Linked DNA regions of Diceros bicornis minor. The protein of the gene in region 1 interacts with the protein of each later gene in a pairwise test. Links are inferred from orthologs where the notes say so. Each region holds a gene or a part of one and is shown in the gene's direction. Other genes may lie near its edges.

What was found.
Region 2: the proteins of GFAP (region 1) and KIAA0408 interact in binary tests that used the Homo sapiens proteins (3 or more experiments, as listed by UniProt). The link is inferred for Diceros bicornis minor from reciprocal best matches to the Homo sapiens genes GFAP and KIAA0408.
Region 3: the proteins of GFAP (region 1) and UBASH3A interact in binary tests that used the Homo sapiens proteins (3 or more experiments, as listed by UniProt). The link is inferred for Diceros bicornis minor from reciprocal best matches to the Homo sapiens genes GFAP and UBASH3A.

Annotation. Positions count from the first base shown.
Region 1 is NC_080757.1:43,359,556-43,367,192, reverse strand, and holds the start of GFAP (glial fibrillary acidic protein), read left to right. Parts: upstream 1-4,633; 5' UTR 4,634-4,697; coding exon 4,698-5,143; intron 5,144-6,051; coding exon 6,052-6,112; intron 6,113-6,293; coding exon 6,294-6,389; intron 6,390-7,071; coding exon 7,072-7,233; intron 7,234-7,637.
Region 2 is NC_080762.1:10,196,139-10,204,073, forward strand, and holds the start of KIAA0408 (uncharacterized protein KIAA0408 homolog), read left to right. Parts: upstream 1-4,925; 5' UTR 4,926-5,355; coding exon 5,356-5,504; intron 5,505-7,935.
Region 3 is NC_080766.1:42,106,215-42,113,624, forward strand, and holds the start of UBASH3A (ubiquitin-associated and SH3 domain-containing protein A), read left to right. Parts: upstream 1-4,400; 5' UTR 4,401-4,408; coding exon 4,409-4,521; intron 4,522-6,533; coding exon 6,534-6,587; intron 6,588-7,410. UniProt on the Homo sapiens protein: Interferes with CBL-mediated down-regulation and degradation of receptor-type tyrosine kinases. Promotes accumulation of activated target receptors, such as T-cell receptors, EGFR and PDGFRB, on the cell surface.

The DNA of each region.
Region 1 (7,637 bases):
GGAAAGCAATTAAAAAGCCAGTCTCAGAGTTAGAGGCTGGGATGTGGGGGGCATGCTGGAGTGGGCCCTGGCTGAGGGGAGAAGAGCGGGGAGAAAGAGCTCGAGCTTATTAACCCCAGCGCAGCAGCCTGACCCCTGGGTCTGTGAAGGTGAGTGAGCTGATGCCTCCAACGATGATGTGCTGAGGGGCCAGGGAAGAGGAAGGGGAAGGAGTCTAGAGGTTCAGCCAGGAACCCTTCTGCAGCCACAGGAGTTGGGCGCTTCTAACCAGCAGAGCCTGGCTGGGCACAGGCTGAGGAGTGGAGAAGGACCTAACGCTGGACTGAGGCAGCCCTCCTCTGACTGAGAGCAGGAGACGACCCTTGCCCTCAAGGAGCTCCCACCTGACAGTGAACCATGGGTTCTCGCATCAGGAAGCTCCCTCCAAGGGGAGAGATGGCTTCTGTCCTATGGGTGCCTTAGTCTAAAGCGGGAGACAGACCGTATCCTTAGGGAGTTCCCATTCTGAAGGGAAGACACAGGTCCTAGCATCTGGAAGCCCCCATCCGTCAAGAGACACATGGCCCCTCTCCTTGGGATGCCTCAGGCTGAGGTGCAGAGGAGACCCACACCCACGGGAGATGCTGACACACCAAAAGCTTCTCAGACCAGATGGAGTTGTGGCCTCAAGTCTAGGGTTGGGGAAGGGCAAGGATGGAGGGACGGATCCCACCAGGGGAGTCAGCGAGGTGAGAGAGAAGGCTGGGAAAGAGCCTCTACTCTGAGTCTCCTCCGGGGCAGTTGGAGATCATGTGCATATGTCCCCTGGGAGACCCAAAGCCACGAACAACTAGTCGCCTGGGGGCAAACGGTGCTGACTCTCACCCTCTCTCCTCTGGCTGCTGCCCCCTACCCCCAAAGACGCAGCTCCCACCCCTCGGGGCCCACCCCATCACAGACGTGCTACTGTGAAGGTAGGCAAAGCACCCGGATGGTGTTATTAAATGGAAGCTATGACTTCTTGAGCACCTGCTGTGTCCAGCTTTCACTGATTTTATCCTCACAACTACCTTGGAAGTAAGGATGACAAGTCCTCATTTTACGGTTGTGGAAATGGAAACTCAGAGAAGTTTCCTGAAGTCATCCAAGATCATACAGCTATTGCGTGGCCACTGCCTTTCTCTGTCCCCTAGAGGGCACTGCCATGGCAGTCAGAGGCAACTCCAGAGAAGAAACGGGGTGATCCCCCTGGGTGATCCAAATTTGGGTTTAGAAAGCTTGCCCACAGCTGTGAGACTGGCTTTCTCCCTGCTTCTAAACGGCTGTGGCCTGGCGGCCGCTCAGACCTCAGCAGCTGAGCACTGCCATCTAGTGGCCACCGGGGCCCAGTTCCCTTCCTCAGGGATGGGCCGTGGAATGGATGGACTCAACCACCACCAAGGGGTGGGCCAGGAAGACCCACGTTCTCTTCGTACCGCCCACGCTTGCTGACCGCCAAGCTATGTCAGGCACTGGAGAGGGGCAGGGGCTCAAGCAGAGCCAGTGGGCAGCAGTCCAGTGGCAAAATAGCCACTTGAATTAGAGGCTGGCAAATTTGGAAAATGCTGGGCAACTTGTGTGTGGGTTGAGGCCGGATGTGGTGTTGGTCTGTCCCAGGAAGCATGTGGGCTCTGCCCCACAGGCAGGAGGGCATCCTGGCACAGGGGGTAAAAGATCATCTTTTCCCCACCTCGGCTTGAAGTGGGGCATGGCTTGGCTGAAGGCCCTGTGGAGGGGCGTCTAGGCATCCTTTCTCCATGGCCCACAGCTTCTGCTGTCTAGTCCAGAAGTCAGTCCAGGATTGGCTTGAGGCTTCGGATGTTGAGGCCCTCAGATTGGGGAAGCAGGAGAGGATGGGAAAGCATCTCCCATGGCGTGGGGTAGGGGCATTGCCCCGACAGGAGCTCAGGGGCCTGAGCTGGCTCTGAGAGCTGCGGAGGAGGCAAGCAGCCAGGCCTTTTCTGCAGAGCTAGAGACCCTATGTAGATGGGGCCTGAGCCAGGCCAGAAGGATGGGGGCAGCGTTGGAAGCCGGGAGGTGGGTCTGCCTGGGGCAGATGTGCATCACAGTGTGATCCAGAACAGAGAGAGAGAGAGAGAGAGAGAGAAAGAGAGAGAGAACATAATTGTCCAACAACAGGGCTTGGTTAAATCAATGCATACAGTGGAAAACCATGCAGCTGTTAAAATGATGATGTAGATAAATATTTATTGATATGGAAAGATGTTCGCAACATATTGTTGAGTGAAAAAAGCAAATTACAAAATAATTTGTACAGCATGAGCCCACTTGTAAAATGAATTTATATGTGTAGAAAAAAATCTGGTAGTGTTTATCTCCAGGTGGCAAAATAATGGCTAATTATTATTTTTTTGTTTTGCTTATCTGTATTTTCTGATGTTTCTACAAAGAATGTGTAAAAATAATGAAAGTTTGGCAAACACCCACAACCAAGCCTGTCTACCTCTTTGGTTCTCTGTGTGGACATCTTTAGATAGTTAAGGCTGAGTGTGGGGATGGGTCTGAGGGTCAGATGGGGGTTGAAGACGGAGGCAGAAAGCCTGGGCCTGTGACAGGGGCCCAGGGAGGTGACTGAAGGAGGTGAAGGCTGGGGGCCTCCATCTGCTGCTGCTGACACAAGCCTGTGTCTCGCACACACAGGTACAATCCACTGAGCGTGGCTGACAAGCCCTTCCTGCTCTTGCTATGTCTTTCCCCTCCAGGACTGCTTTGCACTCATTTCAACTAGACTTCACATGAAGGAAGCGAGGAGGCCACTGACTCGCCCTGCAGGCTGGAAGGGCAGACACTTGTAGTCACAGAGAGGAGTTGGGACGAGGGTTTGTTCCCAGTCTTGCTCTTCCTTCAATGCCCCCTGTCCTTCCCCAGCTCTCCAACCCACAGCAGGATCAAAAGTCACCGGGTGTCCCCTCCTCAAGACTCCCCTCCCTATGTCACTGCTCAGCCCCTGGGGTTGGGTGCGGCCAGAGACTTAGAGACTCTCGCCTCCTCTCTCTGCACTGGGACTCACCGGGGGGAACCTCTACAAGCAGCCTATAACATGCTCAAGTGGAGAGCATGTTCCCGGGCGTGGGGTAGGGGCATTGCCGCAAAAGGAGCTCAGGGGCCTGAGCTGGCTCTGAGAGCTGGGCAGGGGGCGAGCAGCCAGGCCTTTTCTGCAGAGTTGAAGACCTGGCAGAGCGGGGCTGGCTGCCCCCCAGGGCCTTCCCCTGGTGCCCACTGAATGACTCACCTTGGCACGGACACAATGGTCGGGAGTGGGCACAGAGCCTGCTCCCCACTGCACCCCAGCCCCCTCAGATGTTTTCCGAGAAGTTCTTTGAGCAGGGGGCTTAGGCTGCACTCCGCCTAACAGCCTGGCATCTTGGGACAAAAACAGCACAGCCCCCCGGGGGCTGCCGTTGCTGTGCGGCGCCCTCACCAGCAGTGGAGAACAAGGCTCCATTCAGCAAGTGCCCGGGAAAAGGGAGCAGAGGCCCAGGCATGGGCAGTGGGCAGAGGGAGGTGGGGAGAGGAACGCTGCCCACTTCCCAGAAGTCCAAGGACATAGATGGGTGAGGGGCCTGGGTGGAAAGCTGACCCTGTGGGACCAGAGTAGAAGGGGTGGATGGATCTGAAGTCTCAAAGAGCAACAGGGCCCTGGCCCCGGGCTCCCAGTTTGGACCCAGTGACTCCTAACCCACCCGTCCCCAGGGCCCTTCCCATCTTCTCTGCCTCATGCGTGGGAACTCAAAGGAGATAAATCTCCAGTGTGAGAGTGAGGTGAGGAGTGGCCAGCGAAACAGGGTGACGCAGGAACAAGATGGGAGTCAGGACAGCCAGCTCATTCATAACTGCTTTGTGGAGATGTCAAGGCCTAGGCTGGGGCAGGGGTGCAGGAAGGCTGAGTGAGGGAGGGGTGAGGCCAATGGGACTGAGGCAGGGGCTTAAGAGTGGCCCTGGGAGAGGGCCAGAGAGTGTAGTACCTGCCCCCTCTTGCCCTATCGGGGTTTCCACGCTCCTTCCATCATCCCCCCACTGCTAAAGAGAGGTCTCAATTGACCCTCCAGACAAAGGGCTGGTGTCCAACTCCAACCCACAGCCCCAGAACACAGGGAATGGGGAGAAAGCAGGAATGGGGGATGTCTGCATTCAGAGAGGAGGACTCCAGCAATCTGTTGGGAACGGGGCTCAGTAGGAACTGTAACATAGGCTGTTCCTTGAGGGTGTGGAATAGGTTTGTTCTTTGCTAAATTTCCGGCACCTAGCAGGCACTCAAAGGAGGAGGCTCAGTGAGAGAAGGCCTGGGTTATGGGATCTAAGAGTTGGAAGGCAGGTCAGAGGTCATCCGGTCCAGCCCTTTCTTGACCCGCCTTCCTAGAGTGAGAGTCTCCTTGCCCAGTGGTCAGGCCCCAGACCCAGCATCAGGTCCCAGGCACTGCCCATCAGTACTTCTGTCTGCGGCAAGGGGTGGGGACTGGCGTGCCCAGGAGGCCCTGCCTCTGGACACAGTGACCTCTGTGGGGTGAGAGGAGCTCTCCCCATGGCTGGGCTGCGGCCCAGCCCCACCCCCTCAGGCTATGCCAGGGGGCGTTGCCAGGGGCAGCCTGGGAAGTGCCAGGCCGGCCCACTCCTCCATAAAGCCCTCGCAACCCAGGAGCAAGCAGAGCCAGGCCAGGATGGAGAGGAGACGCGCCACCTCGGCTGCTCGCCGCTCCTATGTCTTCTCCTCAGAGGTGGTGGCAGGCCGCCGCCTGGGTCCTGGCACCCGCCTCTCTCTTGCTCGAATGCCACCTCCACTCCCGACCCGGGTGGACTTCTCCCTGGCCGGGGCACTCAACACCGGCTTCAAGGAGACCCGGGCCAGTGAGCGGGCAGAGATGATGGAGCTCAATGACCGCTTTGCCAGTTACATCGAGAAGGTGCGCTTCCTGGAACAGCAGAACAAGGCGCTGGCTGCCGAGCTGAACCAGCTGCGGGCCAAGGAGCCCACCAAGCTGGCCGATGTCTACCAGGCTGAGCTGCGTGAACTGCGGCTGCGGCTTGATCAACTCACTGCCAACAGCGCCCGGCTCGAGGTCGAGAGGGACAATCTGGCGCAGGACCTGGGCACTCTGAGGCAGAAGTGAGGAGGGGGCCGGAGGAGAGGGGCCTCATGAACAGGGAGGACTGAGCCCCCAAGAGAGAGTGCCTGCAGGCCTTCAGAGTCTCACGCAGGGAGCTCTGCCTCCCTGCTCCCCAGTTTTCCCACTTCTGGGAGGGGAAGGCTCTCCTTGCTCCCCAAGATGATGGGAGGGGCTGGGAGGAGGCCCAGAGCCTCAGGGATCTGATTCCAGGGAGCCAGGGTACTCTCAGGACCTCCCCACTGGGGAGAGCTGTGCAGAGGCAGTCAGGGACCCCAGCAGGCAGGGTCTGTGCATTTCATTCACTGCGGGGCCTTGTGACTCTGGGCGGGGAGCTGGCGGACTCTGAGCCCAGACCTGTATGAAGGAGGAGTTGGAAGGGAAGGTTGGTGTGCACTGGGAGGACTGGGCTCTGGGTAAAGGAAGTGGGAGAAAGAGTAGGCAGGGCTCGCTTCAGAACGTGGTGACTCTGCCTGTCACTAGATTATGACCCTAGTCAAGGCACTTCAACTTCACATCTGTGAAGCCAAGATCTTCATAAAACCCATTTCCAAAGGTCAGAGGGAACCACAGGGGCAGGATGCTTTGCTGAGCTGTCAGGGCACGCGCATGAGCCCTCAAGGGCAGGAGGACTCGGGTTTGTGCACTCGGTAGTGGGTGTGTGTTGGTGAAAGCGCCTGCATGAGCAGGAGCGGGTGCATCACCCCTGATAAGGCCCCTTGCTAATGAGGTAAAGTAAAGGCCCTCATCTGCTCACCCTCCTGGCCAAGGCTTCCATCTAGGACCCCTCTGACCCTCGCTCCTCCTGCTACTCCACAGTCCTGGGGGGGTCTCTCTGGCAGCCACCTCCAGAGAGATTGAGGCAGGGATCCAAGAGTCCTCAGAAAAGGAATGTGTCCCCCCACCCCAGGCTCCAGGATGAAACCAACTTGAGACTGGAGGCCGAGAACAACCTGGCTGCCTATCGACAGGTCAGGGGGTTGGCGGGGGGGCAAATGGTGGGGGGAGAGTGTTGATGGTAGCCCACCCAAGCCCAGCCCTCCAGAGCAATGTGTTGCTCTCCCCAACCCAAAAGGAGGGGTAAGACAAGGCTAGAGAATGGGGAAGAGGAGTCTGGTGTCAGAGTGGTCCTTTGCACCTTCCCTACTCCAGGAGGCAGATGAAGCCACTCTGGCCCGCCTGGATCTGGAGAGGAAGATTGAGTCTCTGGAAGAGGAAATCCGGTTCCTGAGGAAGATACATGAGGAGGTGAGGCCAGGACACAGGGGGGAAATCCCAACACAGAGACTGCAATTGAGAGAGAGACAAAGAGACTGAGACTGAGAGAGATACTCAGAGACAGAGAAAGAAAATGAGAGAGATACAGAGAGAGCCTGAGGGAGACAAAGATAGAGACAGACAAGGGAACCTCATATTTTTCTTCGCTACAGACCTGAGACAGAAACCCTTCCAGTATTATCTCCTTTGCACTGAGGCCCAGAGAGGTTAAAGAACCTATTAAGGTCACACAGTTAGTCTTTCTGACTCCACCCATTTGCCATCTGTCTCATTTAAATGAGAGTCATTCATAAAAAAAGATCCCACTGAGCTCTGACCTCAGACTATGGATTCAGAATCCGTGATCCCATGGAACCTAGGAACCCTTACAGGAACACCTACCCGTAGGGACTTAGTCACTCTCCCATGAGAATACAGGCCACTTCAGTGCTCCTGCCTGTCTGGGCCTGGGAGGAGGACACCATGGGGCCCTCAAGCTACCCCCTGCCTCCTCTAGCTTGGGCCATGCCACTTCCTCCAACTAGGACTGCCCCATTTCCCTTAGCCAACGTCCACGTCTGAGGGGCAGGCAGAAGAGGGCATGACACTGTGGGGGAACCCCAGTTGCGGCCTGGGCCCTGAGACCTAGCGTCACTTCTCTCTCCCCGACCAGGAGGTGCGGGAGCTCCAGGAGCAGCTGGCCCAGCAGCAAGTCCATGTGGAGCTGGATGTGGCCAAGCCAGACCTGACAGCAGCCCTGAGGGAGATCCGCACACAATACGAGGCAATGGCATCCAGCAACATGCACGAGGCAGAGGAGTGGTACCGGTCCAAGGTAGCCCTGACTGTAGGCCAGCCTGCCTCCTCCAGGCAGCCCTCCTGGCTCCATACAAGAGAATTGGGGAAGGAGGGTGGAAGGAAGCCAGGAGAGGATCCTCTCTGGGTAACTGACCTTCACCAGAGAAGAGAGGTGACTTGGCCAGGGTCACACAGGCACTCTTACTCCCAATAAGTAATTATTATTATTATTATTATTGCTACTATTACTATTATTATTAGCCAACATTGTTGTGTGCCAGGCCCTGTGCTTTGTATGGATTATCTTACTATGAAGTAGGTACTATTCTTTGATAGATGAGAGAACTGAAGTCCAGAGAAGTTAACTAATCTGCCCAAAGTCACATAGCTCCTAAGTGGTAGAGCTGGATTTCCAACCCCAGCCATCCCTCTTGGGAGCCT
Region 2 (7,935 bases), on another chromosome or scaffold:
AAATGGTTGGAAAAGAAAGAATGAAATTATAGGCATCTGATCATGCAAAATATTTCAATGGCAACAATAACAACAGAAGAATAGAGTGTAAGGGCCAGGCTCAGCCATCAAAGTATTGTGTTTACAGTCTCGTGTGGACTTCCGGAGACCTTGGTGTGGCGAATGTTCTGACTGGCTCTGCAGAAGTCCTCTGATCAGAGTGGGCCCAAGGCTATACTGAAGTGTGACTTTGGGCCTCCCTTTCTGTACCCTCATCTCCGGATCTCCTGTCATGATGCCATGTGTCTTTTCACCTGAGCACCAAGACTTCTCATGTGAACTCCTCAAAATCTAGCACACGCTCATACAGTTCCTCATTCTGATCTTCCCTCCCTATCCATACTCCATGCCCCATGAATAAAACAGATTTGTTTTGCGGGCTCCAATCAAAACTTACGTATATTGACTTGTCCCTTCCAGTCCTTTCTGTGTGTTAGCTGTTCTTTTCTGTGCCAAGGTGTGATAGCTAGTAACTGCATCCTCTGCCAATGGCACGTTATTAGACAGTTACTGAAAATATAATGCTATTACCTAATAGTGATAAATCTAACATTTCTGGGAGATGATGTAGGTGGGCTAGCAACTCTATGGGGCGGGAAGAGTAGGGATTAATTACTGTGTCCTTCAAATTGTACTTGCTAAATAGCCTCTCTTAGCCCTCCTTCACTGCTAGAACTACCTAACAGAGAGGAGTGACTCAGGGTGCCCTCTTGTGGTGGACAGACATTCCCAAGGCCCTTTTCTGGAATGAGAGGTAGCCCTAGAACTGTCCCTTTATTATTTAGATTTTGTTGTCATCATTAGCAACATCTCCCAATTCAAGAATCTAGAAATAATATAATGAGATGCTAAAAACAAATTTGAAAACAAGCAAGATCTGTCTCTAGTTTTAATAAATATCCCACATTTCTCAAATGTTTTATTGTTTTGTTTCCTCAGCATACAGACCAGTATTTAAAAAGAACAAATAGCTTGAAACTGTTTCTTTTGAATATTTCTGTCATCTGGAAATGCCTGTACATAAGCCCCATGACAGATCTGCTTGGCTGAAAAATCTGTTGACATGTTACCAGCCCTCAGAATAGAAGAGAGAGCCAGCATCCCATGATTCTAGGGGGAAAACATCCAGCCCTGGGAAAATAGCACATTAGCTGAAACACAGCAATCTAAATATGTAACTTCCATGGGTGATAAATACTCTGTGTGTGACTCTCATAATTTTATAACCCAAAACAGATTCTTGTAAATATCAAGATTATGTTTCTTTTACTAACACAGAGTCCAAACTCTGCCATTCTAGGACTCAACACAGGATTAAATTTGACAGAATCAGTTGTGCAACTTTATAAAAATTAAGAAACCTGGGCCACACCACTGAATGGTCTGATTCAGAAAGTCTGGGGGAAAGTTCCAGCATTAGTAATTCTTTAAATAATTCTCTGAGTGATTGTGCTATACAGCAAGGGCTGAGAGTAACACTATACTGTCCCCTTGAAGTAATGCTGTGGCGACTATGGAAGGGGCTCTCCGCATTTGTTTGTAAATTTATTTCAAGGTAGTGAGCTATTCAGGATGTGGGCAGTCATGCTGTAGGTCACATTTCAGGGATCTTCAGAGTTGACCTAGCTTGCTGAGGACAAGGACATGTCTTATTCTTCTTCCAGTCCTCCGGATCTAACACTACACCTGGCACAGACTTGGCTCATGAATATTTGTTAAATGAAATGTTAATTGGAGTGTCCAAGACCTCTCCCTAGGAATGGAAGATAATTTAAGATTCAAGAGACTTCTACTAAACAACTGATATCATATATCGTAAAGTGCTTTGAAAACTGCAAAGAGCAAACATTATTCTAGAAGGAAGGATTATTTAAAATATGTCACCTATAATAGCCTCTAAATTTTAATATGCATAAGAATGAGTTCAGTTTTTCAAAGTCATCTTTTTTCCAATTTTTTCCATCTCCTTTTCAATGAAAGTAGAAATACAGTACCCCTTTACTGGTAAATATCTTTAAAGAGTAAAGCAAGAAAGGACTGAAAAACTATACAAGCAAGAAGTCAGAAGCCACCCAGTCTCATGCACAGCCAGTGTCATCATAGCATTAAGAGATTAAATAAATAACTGCTTTGTGATGCTTCAAGATTTTCCTGCCAACAGGATACTGTAAATTAAATGTGTACTAGCATGCTAAAGGCAAAGTTGGTGCATTTATCCCTGGATTTTTTTTCAACCACTAAGTTAAAATCCTTTTGTCTTCGTATTTTGACCCAGGATTTATATAGCTGAAGACACAAGCCTCTTTAGATAAATAGTCATCAAGATAAATACTCTGCTATATGACTCCTATGTTATACTTGGAAGATGGAGTATCATCTCCCTCATTTGAACTTAGAAGAAAACTGAATTTAAAATTTAACAAAGCCAGAAATCAACCTCTTATGACCAAAACTCTTATCCCTTTATTCTATCCCCTTCCCTTGAACTCCTTGGAATTTTGAACTTCAAGGCACTCCACGAGGAATGAGAAGACCTGGCTTCTATTCCTGGCATTTCTAGTAAGTGGCTTTGTGACCTTGGGCAAATGACTTAACATCAGGTCCTCTTTCCTCAGCTGTAAAATGAGAAGGATGGCTAGATGATTTCAGAGGTTCTTTCTGGCTCTAAATTTCTATAAGTCTGGGAACACCTGCTAGTGACATTTATGCACTCAGTACTCCTTTTTCACTCTTTCCAAAATGTTTTAGTTTGTGGCTTAATATCATTATTCATATAGACCTTTTCACATCCTCTCCAGGATTTTCTTTTTTGTTTCTTGACAGCAGCTGTTGTTTCTACATTTACTTTACACTGTCTTGTTATACACATTATTTTTACATATTTGTTATGCATTGAAATAGGATTAGTGTGTCATCGGATTCTTCCAAATTCTCTCCAATACATAGAGCAATCATTTGGGTCAATTTAGTATTTGAAGGTTTAAATATTTAAATGGTTTAAAAGTAGCCTGGATTATGTAACAAATTGCATCTTTTCCATAAGATTTTCAGCATTCTGACATCTGCTTGAAAATGTCAGGGACTTTTATTTAACTCTGAATATCACTATATGGCTGAGTACACCAGCATCAGTCTTTTAAATCCCTTCATTTTATGTACGTAACAGTAAGAACTTTTCTTAAAACAAAAGCTTTTAGTGGAAAGGTTCAAAAATACCTGTGCAGAATATTTATTGCCTTCGTATGCCATCGTCTAATTGTGTGACTTTATTTCTTTTGGGTATGAAATATAGCATGGAAATTTTAGCTAATATATATTTTTAAAAATTCAACAGAAAGGGTTTGTAAATACTAGAATAAGTGGTAGACTTGGAGTGAAATTCTTGTCAAAGTCTTTCCCTAGTTTTTGAATCTATATATAATTTTGTGTCAACTTTACCATGATAAAAAACAAACGAATCCCCTGCAGTAAATAATTACTGGGACATCCATGAAAAAGGGCAGTGAAATAGGTACTATTGAGTGATAGTATAGAGTATAGCTCAACATAATTTCTCCTATAACTTAGCCACATATTATCTGAAGTTCTGATAGGATTTAGAAACAGTCTTAATTTTACAAAGGACACGTGGAAATTAAGAAATCTAGAGAGGAAGAGAGGGTAGGGGGAACACTGTTATTAGGTAATTCTGTAGAGATGCTTTGAGGCAATCCCCCCAGGATCTTCCTCCTGTCCTCATAAGGATGGAGGCAGAAATGAGCTAACATAACTTGTGTGCCCGGCACTCATACTCTTACAACAATTTCATGAAGTAAATATGATTATCCCTTTACAGAAGAAACAGAAACTCAAAGTTCACACAGATAATTGGTGGCAGTGGGATTGAAACCAAGATCTCTGTGACAAAATTCAGAGTTGCAAGAAACTGGTTCCAATCCCTACTTCTCTGCATGGGTGTGCGTTTCTGTGCACTTCCGCAAACTACATTACCTCTCTGAGTCACCGTTTTATCAGTAAGATTGGGTTAACAATACTTAGAGACATAGTTGCTCTGAGGGTGAGCTATGATAAAGATATATTCAGAGTACTTAGCACAGAGACTTGCAGAGAGCTATCCCTCCATGAGTAATCACTATTAGTACTATAACTGTTATTGTTGTTGTTATTGATTTTGAGATTATGATGCCAGGCTTTCAAGACACAGAGTATGATTTCATTCAATTGTCCTACATGTACTAATGTCCTACTATGAGCAGGTTATTATTCTTAAACTTTTTAGCTCCCCATGAAATATTTATCTGAAAGCAAGCAAAAATAATGTGAAAGTGAAGATGTAATGCTTTAACGACCACACAGAGAAAGTTCTTCAGACTTGATGATAAGCCTTATTATTTAAACTCTTATCTAGGTTATTTTGAGAATTAGACACAAATTGCTGTAGATGCTTCCTTTAACTCCATTAAACCAAACATGAGCAGATGCATGTGTGTACAAGTTCACACACAACCTGGAAATGTTGCTGGGGGGGATTTCCAGGACAGATGGATCTGGTTATGGTTTAGGGAGCCTCTCCATACACTTGGGCTACAGCACACCTCAGTTGAAAACAAGCATGTGAGTATCTCATTGGTTTTTTCCTTCCCTTAATAAGTATCATCCTTTCCCATGGGCTCCAGTTTTTTCTAGCAGAAAGACATTACTACCACTGTAGATATAGGAAGCAAGCTGTCATAGAATCACAAAGAGCTAGGAGGTTGGTGTTTGTATATGTCCCATTTCTATTTTATTTAAAGACAGAAGTTTTTAAATCTTTTTGAGATCCTATATATCTTTTGAGATCACAAATCTTTTGAGATCATATATCTATAAAATTGCTACATGTGTTGTTCTGCCACATCCAGACACCAACTTCTAAAGGCACTGAAAAGTGCATTCTGACACGAGCTGAGAAGGGGAAAGAGAGAGATGCAAGGAGATAATTCTTGACTGTAAAAAAGGAGTTTACTTTTCCAAATAAAAGAAATCTAAAATGGGCCACTGTCTTTGTGTGCTGTTAACACCAGCTCTTTTGGAGAGTTTGAAAATGCTCGGCTCCATGATAAAAGCTAAAAATGTCCTGGACGTGGAGTTGTTTACCCAGAGTACGAGCTGCTCTAAAGTTACAGAGCTCTGGTTGGAAGCGGTGGCTGGAATGCCGCCTCCGGGTCACTGACGTCACAGTAGTCTCAGCTGCCGCTGTGATACTGAATTGAGCAGCTTCGTGACTCGTGAAAGTGGTGAAGGTTCCAAAGGGGCTTGTCAGTACCGCTCTGTTGAATGGTCAGACTTATTTTGCATTCCCATTTCTTGCAAAGAAGCAAGATTCACCAAGCTGAGACTTTTCTCTTGAAAACAACTAGCTGTCCTTTCATTGCTAGGTTGACCACTGGTCGAACATCCATAGGATTTCTCGCTGGAGCAAAAAGGTATGTTTCTTTCGGGCAGTTTGAATGCAAGTGACTAATTGTGGCAAAATATGGAGGGACTGCTGCTGCCGTGTTGTAAAGTGTGGATACTGTTTAAGTGGAGGATGATGTCAACATCTGTCTGTTTCAGTGTCTGTGTCTGGGTTTGAAAACGGTGGGGCGGGGTGTGTAATGGATTTTACTGACTCCCGGGGAAGAGAGGGTTCAGCTGCTGTGAGTGGATTTCTCAGCTCTGGACTGATGGTGCCATCCGCTCTCTGAGACAGTGTTTTTCAAACACGGCTTCTCAATACTTTGAACAGCACTTTGCCTACCGTGGGATTTCTCTAAATATATTTATTAGAATGCTACTTTCATTAGGATGAGGACTTTTTAACATTTGCAAAGTAGAGTTCACAACCCTTGAGATTGCTGATATTTGAAAATTGCAATGAAAAATAAATGTAGTTTCATCCAAGATGATGGTTTGCTCCCTGCATGGTGAGTGTTTCTGTAATTTGAGTTAAGTGCATGCCATTCATAATGGGTTCATCTGCAATTAGGAGAGAACCTTACCACTACATCTTCTGTTTAAACTGGTTAATTTTAGATATTTGTTTACCCAAGCTGAAAATTTCTTTCAAAGCCTCTATTTTATAAGTTAAGAGAAGTAAAATCAGTGCACCTATATCTTGGATGTTTTCTAGTTTGAGTGTATAAGTGGAGAGAAAACAAGGAAGGAGAAGATAATAAAATGAGAATGCAAAGTTGGTTTCTTTGGAATTGCATGTGGCAGTATTGGAATATGAAGAACATGCTGAAATAGCGAGAAATAGTAATAAAAAATATTCCCTTTTGCCCTGTAACAAAATCAAATCATGGTTGTCTTTGGAAAGATGCATTTGCCAGAGAACAATAAGGGAGGAATAAGGTCTGTTAATCAGTTGAAATGATGCAGGTGACTCATAGTAGCCTGGATAAAGGGCTAGAGAAACTTGGAGGCAAATGGTGCATAACTCTGATGGGTATGGGTGTGGGGATCCTAATTCCTCAAAGTTCAGAGGAAGCAAAGCATCTCCAGGGCAATGATTCTTCTAGGAATTGTGAGATTGACAGCACCTACTCTGTGTGGCATTCCTATTGGAATATGTAATCTCCTACAAATGAAAAATCTCCAGTTATCCGAAAACTAATATGTTAGGAAAAGGAAGTAGGAGAGCAAGAAACAAGTATTCTGAACAAAAATCTCAGAAGAGAGAAGTAACATCGGAGTCAGCTCCCCTAACACTGTTTCATTTGTCTGGCTGAAGTCCAGTTTCCAGTGGGGCAGTGGGATCTTGAAATGGTAACGACCAAGGTGTAGTAAGAATGGAACACCCCTCCCACAAAGAAGTATGATCATGACCAAATTGAGGCTAATGTGGGAAATGAAAATGAGTTATTGTGAGACTCCTGTGGCACATTAAATCTGCTTAATAGTAGGGCTGGAAGGTTGGCAGAACTATTTTCTTCCCTTCACCGCACTTATGCAGCCCACTCACAACTCTACCGTTCTGGCTTCCGGCTGTGGGGAGGGGGAAATGGGTTGAAATGGATTAGGGAAGGCTGACTTGGAGTTGTTGGGTGAAGAACGTGTGCAGGACTAAGTAATAAAGCTCACTCTCTCCTTTCACATTTGCTCTAATAAATTTTTATTCTGAATGCAATTCTAGAAGGAGTGAAATGAAATGGAGAGTCAAAGGGACACCGGAAGGGGTGCAGATAGCAGAAATCCTTCCTTCTCCCCCACATAGATGCCAGTATCTGTGGGTGAAAAAGAGTGACAGCTAAGAACAAAGAGAACTTTTATGTTTGCCTCAGTCGAGTCACTGAAAGTGAGTTTTTGAGTCTGCTGAACCACATTACCCCGTAACTTCTCCTTGCAGAACATTCTGTCCCTACCAAGCTGCCCCATTAGTTGGATTTTTTAAAAAATAATTAAGGAGAATTATAACAGGCAGTTTTATATAAGATTTGTTTATTCAAATTTTTACTAACAATAAAAATTTTCCTAAATATTTACCTTGCCGTGTGTCCTTAAGCTACTTGAAAAATACTGAGAGCAAAGAAAAATCATTGAAAATTTTTGTGAGTTCATACAATTAGACTTGCTTTTATCAATTTTCTAATTAAATAAAGATCAAAATCATCAGTTTTATGCCAGAGAAAGAAAACAGAGAGAGAGATAGATGAAGGGAAGGAGGGAGGGAGAAGACAAGAAAAAGGTGCAGGGAGAGAAGGACAGAAGGAAGAAATCAAGAAACAGGCATTTATCGAGCACCCGCTATGATCCAAAACAGGGTCAGGCACTTTTATTAAGCATTCTCTCTCTTGCTCATTTAAGCCTCACAACAACTCTATGGCCCCCCTTTATTTTTGTTAGAGGAGAAAGCATATATTCAGCCATATTGCA
Region 3 (7,410 bases), on another chromosome or scaffold:
CCTACAGATCAGTTCCATCAAGCTCAGTATACAATTTTAAGGAAAAAGAAATCAGCACACCTAGGGCTGGCATCTGATGTTCACCAAGCCGGAGTCTTAAGTAGTCTTGGTTTGGAGGTATGAGAAGGGGCATCCTACCCTGAGGGCTCCCCTAGGACCTGTGAAGCTTTCATAAGCACTTGCACACAGCTTCGTTCTAGGCACAGTCTCAGTCTCCACCTTGATCTCTTTAGCGAGTGATGGGAGGCTTGGGGGTCAGCCACAGGGGAAATTCTGCGTCAGGAAGCTTTAGTCTTTTTGCTGTTGGCCTTGGAAGATAACTTTTCAAGCTAAGAAAAAGGGATTAAGCTAGATAGGGCGTTTCCTGGCTTACACAAGTAAGATTTTTTTTAAAGAGAAATTTACATTTTAATATGTTATAAGCACAATTGCTGAAAAGGTAGTTTACTATTTAGAAGAGATAAATATATTTGAGTAGAGGCCGTCACTTCAGACCCAAAATCTACTTTTTTGTTGTTGTTGTTGCTGTGGAAGATTAGCCCTGAGCTAACATCTGCTTCCAACCCTTCTCTTTTTGCCCTTTTTTGTATGTCAGCCACCCCCATAGCATGGCCACTGACAGGCGAGTGGTGTAGGTTCACACCTGGGAACCAAACCCCGGCCGCCAAAGCAGAGCGCATGGAACTTAACCACTAGGCCACCAGGGCTGGCCCCTTCCCTTTCCTTTTTTAAAATCAATTTTATTGAGGTTTAATTTACACACTATCAACTGTACCCATTCTAAGTGCTCAATTCAGTCAGTCTTGAAGATCTATGCATCCATTTGGTCACCACCAAATCAGGATGTGGAACGTTTCCATCACCCCCAAAAACTCCCTCTGACCCTGGCCTGACAACCACTCATCTGCTTTCTGTCTTCATAGGTCAGTTTTACCTTTTTTAGAATTTCATTTAAATAAAATCGTACAGTATCTATATCTTGTGTTTGGCTTCCTTCAGTCAACAATGTTCTTTTAAATTCATCCATGTTCTTCTATGAATCAGTGATGTCTTCCTTTTTATTGATATATGTTATCCCACTGATTGAATACACAGTCATGCACTGCATAACGACATTTCAGTCAATGACAGACCACGTTTACGATGGTGGTCCCATAAGATTAGCACCATATAGCCTAAGTGTGTAGTAAGCTATACCATCTAGGTTTGTGTAAGTACGATTTATGATGTTTGCACAATGCTGAAATTGCCTAACGATGCATTTCTCAGAACGTATACCCAACACTGAGCAACACATGACTGTACCATAATTTTTGTATCCATTCACCAGTCTATAACAGTTGTATGTTTTTGGATTCTTTTCAATTTGGGTCTACTGTGAATGAACCCACTACAGACATTTCACATACAAGTCTTTGTGTGGTCATGCATTTTCATTTCTCCTAGGGAGATAGCTAAGAGTGGATTGGTCGTATAGTAAGAATATGTTTAACTTTATAAGACTATGTTTTCTGGAAGTGGTTGGACAATGTGTGAAAGTTCCAATTATTCCACGGTTGGTCAAAACTTGATATTGTCAGTCTTTTCAATTTTAGCTCTTCTACTAACTGTGTTGTGGTATCACATTGTGGTTTTAATTTACATTTCCCTGATGACTAATGATGTTGAATATCTTTTCACGTCTTCATTAGCCATTTGCATATCTTTAACCACTTAACCCATTTTTTAACCAGATTGCTCCTTTTCTTATTATTGATTATGAGAATATACATATATAATAGATGCAGAAATACATTATGTTATATTCTGTATATTCTGGATACAAGTCCTTTGTCAGGTATCTACGGTGATATTTTCTCCCAGTCTGTGGCTTACATTTTTATTTTCTTTATGGTGTCTGTCAAAGAGCAGAAGTTTTCAATTTTGATGAAGTCCATCTTAATTTTCTTCTTTTATGATTCATATTTTTTTGTGTCATAACAAAGCTTTCAAACTCCAGCGTAGCAAAAAATTTTCTCCTACATTTTTGTTGGAAGTTTTATAGTTTTAGCTTTTACATTTAGGTCCATCATAAATTTGAGTTAGTTTTTGTGCATGATGTGAAGTAAGGGTTGAAATTTATATTTTTCCCATAACGATATGCAGTTTTCCAGCACCGTTTGTTGAAAATATTATCCTTTCCTCTATTAAGTTACATTGGTCCCTTTGTTGGGAATCAAATGACCACATATGGGGGTCTTTCTGTGCTCTCCAATGGCACACTATGGCAACCTGATTTTTAAATTTATATGAAAAAGCAAAGAGCATAGAGGAGCCAAGACAATCTTGAAGAAGAAGACAAAATCAGAGGACTTAACGCTATAGTAATTAAAACAGTGTAGTATGGGCACAAAAATGGACAAATCCAATAAGAGAACATAATGGAGTCAGAAACAGACTAATACATATACAGTCACCTGATTTATAATGAACATTCTACTGTATTCACTGGGCAAAGAATGGTCTTTTCATTGAACACAGGTATGGGGAAAGAAATGAACATAAACCCCTACCTCACCCCATACAAAGAATTAATTCAAATGGACCATAGAGCTAAATATGAACAGTAAAAGTAGTAAAGCCTCAAAAAGAAAATGTAGGAGACAATCTTCATCAATGTTGGGTTAACAATGATTTCTTGAACAAGATGCAGAAAGTTCAAACCATAAAAGAAAAGATTGATAAATTAGTTTTCATTCAAATTAAGAAATTTCGTTTCACTCAAAGACATTATTAAGAGATTAAAAAAGCAAACCACAGCCTGGAAGAAGTTATTACCATTAAATGCATCCAACAAAAGACTTATCTCCAGAGTTCCCACAAATTGATAAGAAAAAGCAAACAACCCAATTTTTTAAAAGGCAGATGCTTTGAACAGGCCCTTCCCCAAAGAGGTTCTTCAAATGGCCAATAGGCTGTCTCGTGGTGCTCAATGTCATTGCCATTCAGGGAAACGCAAATTAGAACCACAGTGAGATACCACTACACACACCTAGATTGGCTAAAACTAAAAAGACTGACAGTATCAAGTATGGATAAGGATGCAGAGCAGGTGAAACTCGCATCCACTGCTGGCGAGAGGGCAAATTGGAACGACTGCTTTGTAAAACTGCTTGGCAGTTTTTAATGAAGTCTGCACATATCCTATGACCCCCAAATCCCACTCCGAGGTGTGTACCCAGCAGAAATGCATACATTGGGCATTAAAAGATGTATACAAGAACATCCACAGCAGCAAAATAACTGAAACACACCCAAATGTACATCAACAGAGAAATGGAGAAATAAAGTATGGTGCATTTATCTGATAGAATGTTACACAGCAATACAGGGAACTAACTACAGCTACAAGCAACAATGTGGATAAATTTCACACACGTGATTTTAGGCAAAAGAAACCAGACACGAAAGAGTACATGCTGTACGGTTCTATTTATATAAGTTTCAAAAATACGCAAAATTAATGTGCAAGTGTGTACAGCGGTTACCTTTTGGGGTGAGAGAGGAGACAACTAGGAAGCTGGGTGGGGGCTGAGAGCAGGGGTGCTTCTGAGGTTCTGGTAATGTTCTCAAGCAGAGTTTCTCAACCCTGATGCTATTGACATTTTGGGCTGGATCCTTCTTTGCTCTCGTGTGCACTGCAACATTCCTGGGTTCAATCTGCTAGATGCCAGTAGCAAGCATCCCCTCCAGTTGTGACAACCAAAAATGTCTCCAGACACTGCCAGCGGTCCCCGGGGATGGAGGCCAATATCCTCTGGTTGAGGACCACTGTTTAATTGCTGGTCCTGGGAAGGTTAGGTGTGTGTGCTCACTTTATGAAGATTCATTGAGCTGTACACATATGATTTGTCAACTTTTCTGCACGCATATTAAACTTTAAAAGTTTTTAAAATCAAAAAAAACGTCAATGAATAACTAAAGAAACCCAAAATTTCAGAGCTAGCAGGGAAAATAGATACAGCGTAGTTTAATGTCTTGCTTGCAGATAAGGAGACTAGATCCAGGGTCGCTTGGGGTTCTACAGTCAGTGGGACCTGGTAGAGAACACTTGCCCCTGGTTCCACTCCCTCGTCCTGCCCCCTCGCTCTCCCTCTCTTGCAGACTTGCTCCCCAATGCAGCCCACGTCAGTGCAAAGGCTTGGTTGGACCTCCGGATCCCAAACCGCGCTGTGGAAAGAGGCTTGGTGGATATTGCACCCCAGCACCCCACAAAGAGATTTTTGAAAACCAGTATCTCATGCAAACAGGATATTAGCTTTTGTTAGAAAGATCAAAAAAGGCTTGAGGTTTTTCTTCACAGCTTCAGACTCTCTTGCCTCTCCCTCTCTGGCTTTATCTACTCATTTCAGCCTGCAGGCAGGAAGACATGGCAGCCGGGGAGACTCAGCTCTACGCCAAGATCTCCAACAAGCTCAAGGGCCGCAGCACCCCCGCCCTCCTGGACTCCCTCCTGGGGATGGGCTTCCCGGCACACACCGCGTGAGTACTGCCCTGGCTAGGGGAGCCTGCGACCCCCGAGCCTGACCCTTCCGTGGCTCCTCTGTGAAACTGCAGGCAGCTCCGAGCACCAGCTTCCTGTCGAAGGGGTACACCACGCAGGATGAGACACTGTCTCAAAATAAGACCCTTTTCTGCTTTTTATAAATAACTTGATCTTTCTTTTTAAAGACAAACTCAGCTGGTTGATGGGGGGGACACTGAAATTTGTGAAAATTAGAAACCAAGTATTACCATGGCAGCCCCATTTTTCAGAGTTTGGAGGAGCTTGGGGCCTGGTTGTACCGTCTCTGTGAGCAGCTCGGCGACTCTGAGACGACATTTCAAACTCTAATTTGAAAGATCCCAGAGCCCAGTGAGTCTCTATTGCTGGGACCTGTTGAGATGGGACTGTGTTTCTAAACAGTGCAGGAAAACCATTAGTGCTTAGGGAAAATCTCTTGAATGTCTGAAAACGAAACAAAATGATGAAGAAACTACCGGAAGAGTGTCAGCACAATCCTACTCACCCAGGAAAAACGTCCACACGGAAGATTTTAACCTTAGGAGTTACCCCTCTCAGAGAGTGGAGAAATCCCCAAAATCAATGACTATGATCCTGACCCTGGGTTACAGCTTCCACGGGAAATTGATTGCTTAGTTCTGGTCCTTTTCACATGCTTATTCATATGGGAAAATACATCAGAAGTCCCCTTAGGTAACCTTGGATTTGAGAGCGGGGCAAACCTTCCTTAAACATTGTAACAAAAATCCTGACCCAAGTGGATGAAATAACTTTGAAGCTAGACCCCTTGCACCTCCAATCCAATTCAGGACTCGGTCGTCACCACTATGTTCATAATAATCCGGGGGTCTGTGCAGTGGGAATGGAAGCAAGCACGAGCAGAGTGCCTGCCGTGTGCTGGGCACCGTCCTGGGCATCGTCCAACAGGTGCAGATGGGGACACTGAGGCCAGAGAGAGCAGGACAGGAACCCTATTCTCGGTGCCTCTAGAGCCCAGGCTTTATTACATCAATGAAGCTGTAGTGTGGACGCATACCCAAAATTCCTTCTAGTTTAAACCTTAGCCGTATGCTGGGGGTAGAGAAACATGTTTAAACTTCTCCCTTAGGCTGGAGCACCCCAGGGAAGCCTGGAGCCAAGGCCTCCCTGTTAAAACCCATCCAGGTGGCCACATCCCGTCGGTATTGGGCGGCACCGTACTGGGTTCCTCAACAATTCCAGCCACTTCCGGGCCGACTCCCTGAATGCATTACCTTAGCCGGGTTTCACTCTGTACAATTTGGAGGTTCAGTTCAATTCAATTCAATATATTTACATCCAGTTACAATGATAAGTAAGACATCGTTAGGCCTAGGGACATCATGGTCTGGTAGGGGAGGCAAACGGACACGAGTTCAATGAGATGAGAAGCAAGGTGACCACACGTGTGGTGGGGAAACACAGGAGGGGCTGCACGTCCACCCTGCTTGGGCGGTTCGGGGAGGACTTCCTGGTGGAGGGACGTGTAAACAATCATAGAAGACCCAGGGCCATGTCTTTGAGGGCATGTCAGCACAGGGCCGCATTTTGGCAGGGAGGCACGTGTGCAAGCCGAGGATATGACCCATCATAGCCAGTGGGTCCACCTGGCTTGGGTGCAGGGTGCATGGGGGAGGGTGGAGCAGATGGGGTTGCAGGCATGGGTGGACCTCAGGGCATGAGCCCTTGGTCTCGGTGCCAAGGACTGCAGGGAGGGATCCCCAGAAGGAAAATGAGCAGGGGTGGTGTGAGCAGGTCTGCATTTTCAAAAACCACAGTGATGCCTCTCGGAGGACAGAGGCCTGGACACTCAAGCTGCCAGCTGCAGAGTCTAGCAGTCCAGCCCCTCCAGGTCCTGATATGTCCGATACGAAGGTCCGACAAGTTGTAGGGCTGCCCCTGCTTCTCTCATCCCTTCCCTGAGAATGCAAGGCAGGCTTCTGAATGCTCCTTGCCTTCTGCTTCCCTACAGGCTAAAGGCATTGGCAGCGACCGGAAGAAAGACAGTGGAAGAGGCATCGGACTGGTGAGTGGGGCTGGCTTTGCAGACGTGGAGCGTTTGGATTGAGGTGCCCGTGCTTTGAGGACTCTGCGGGATGGACACTGGGAAGTGCCCAGTGCGCTCTGGGCGGGGCAGGGGCCACCTCCACGCCTACCCACCCAGCACCAAGGGAAGGGAATAAAGAGCTCACATTTAAAATGTAAAATGAAAAAGAGACAACCGTGCACAAGGCTTTCTTCACTTAAAAATCTGATTTAATTCAAATGTGACTGTCAAAGAAGAAAAAAATGCATGTGATTTGTTGAGTACAGAGGGCAGAGCCATTTTTTGCTGATGTGAAAGAGAGGTCACCACTCTCAGGTTATGTCTGACAGGAAGAGAATTTACCGGTGGTTGTGAATGCCCCCAAAGGCATCGGCATGGTGCACCGGAGCGGGTGCCGGGTGGTTGGGGGGACGGGGTAAGGGGCTCTGAGCTCAGGGTGGCCCCTCCATCCACCAGCTACTCGACTCTACAAGCCGCCCACTGCTATGGACTGCGGCTTTCTGCTCTGGAAATCAAAGAGAGGGCACCCCCTTTTCTAAAACCCAGTCCCGCCTGAATGTGCCATGATGCCATCGTTCTGTCCTCAGGTGGGAAGTCCCCTAACACTCTGCCCCTGAAAAGCCGCAGTGAAAATCAAACAAAAAAACCGGGTCCCGCCAGGCTGGGGTGCCCTCCCCAGAGCGGGTGGAAATGCTGCCCGTGGGTCTCCGGGTGTCCAGCACGTCCTCAGTGGGAACCCCCTTCCTCCTCCAGAAACCCTAGGCTGAGGGTAAAATAAGTAACCTGTCTACAGGACGAAGGA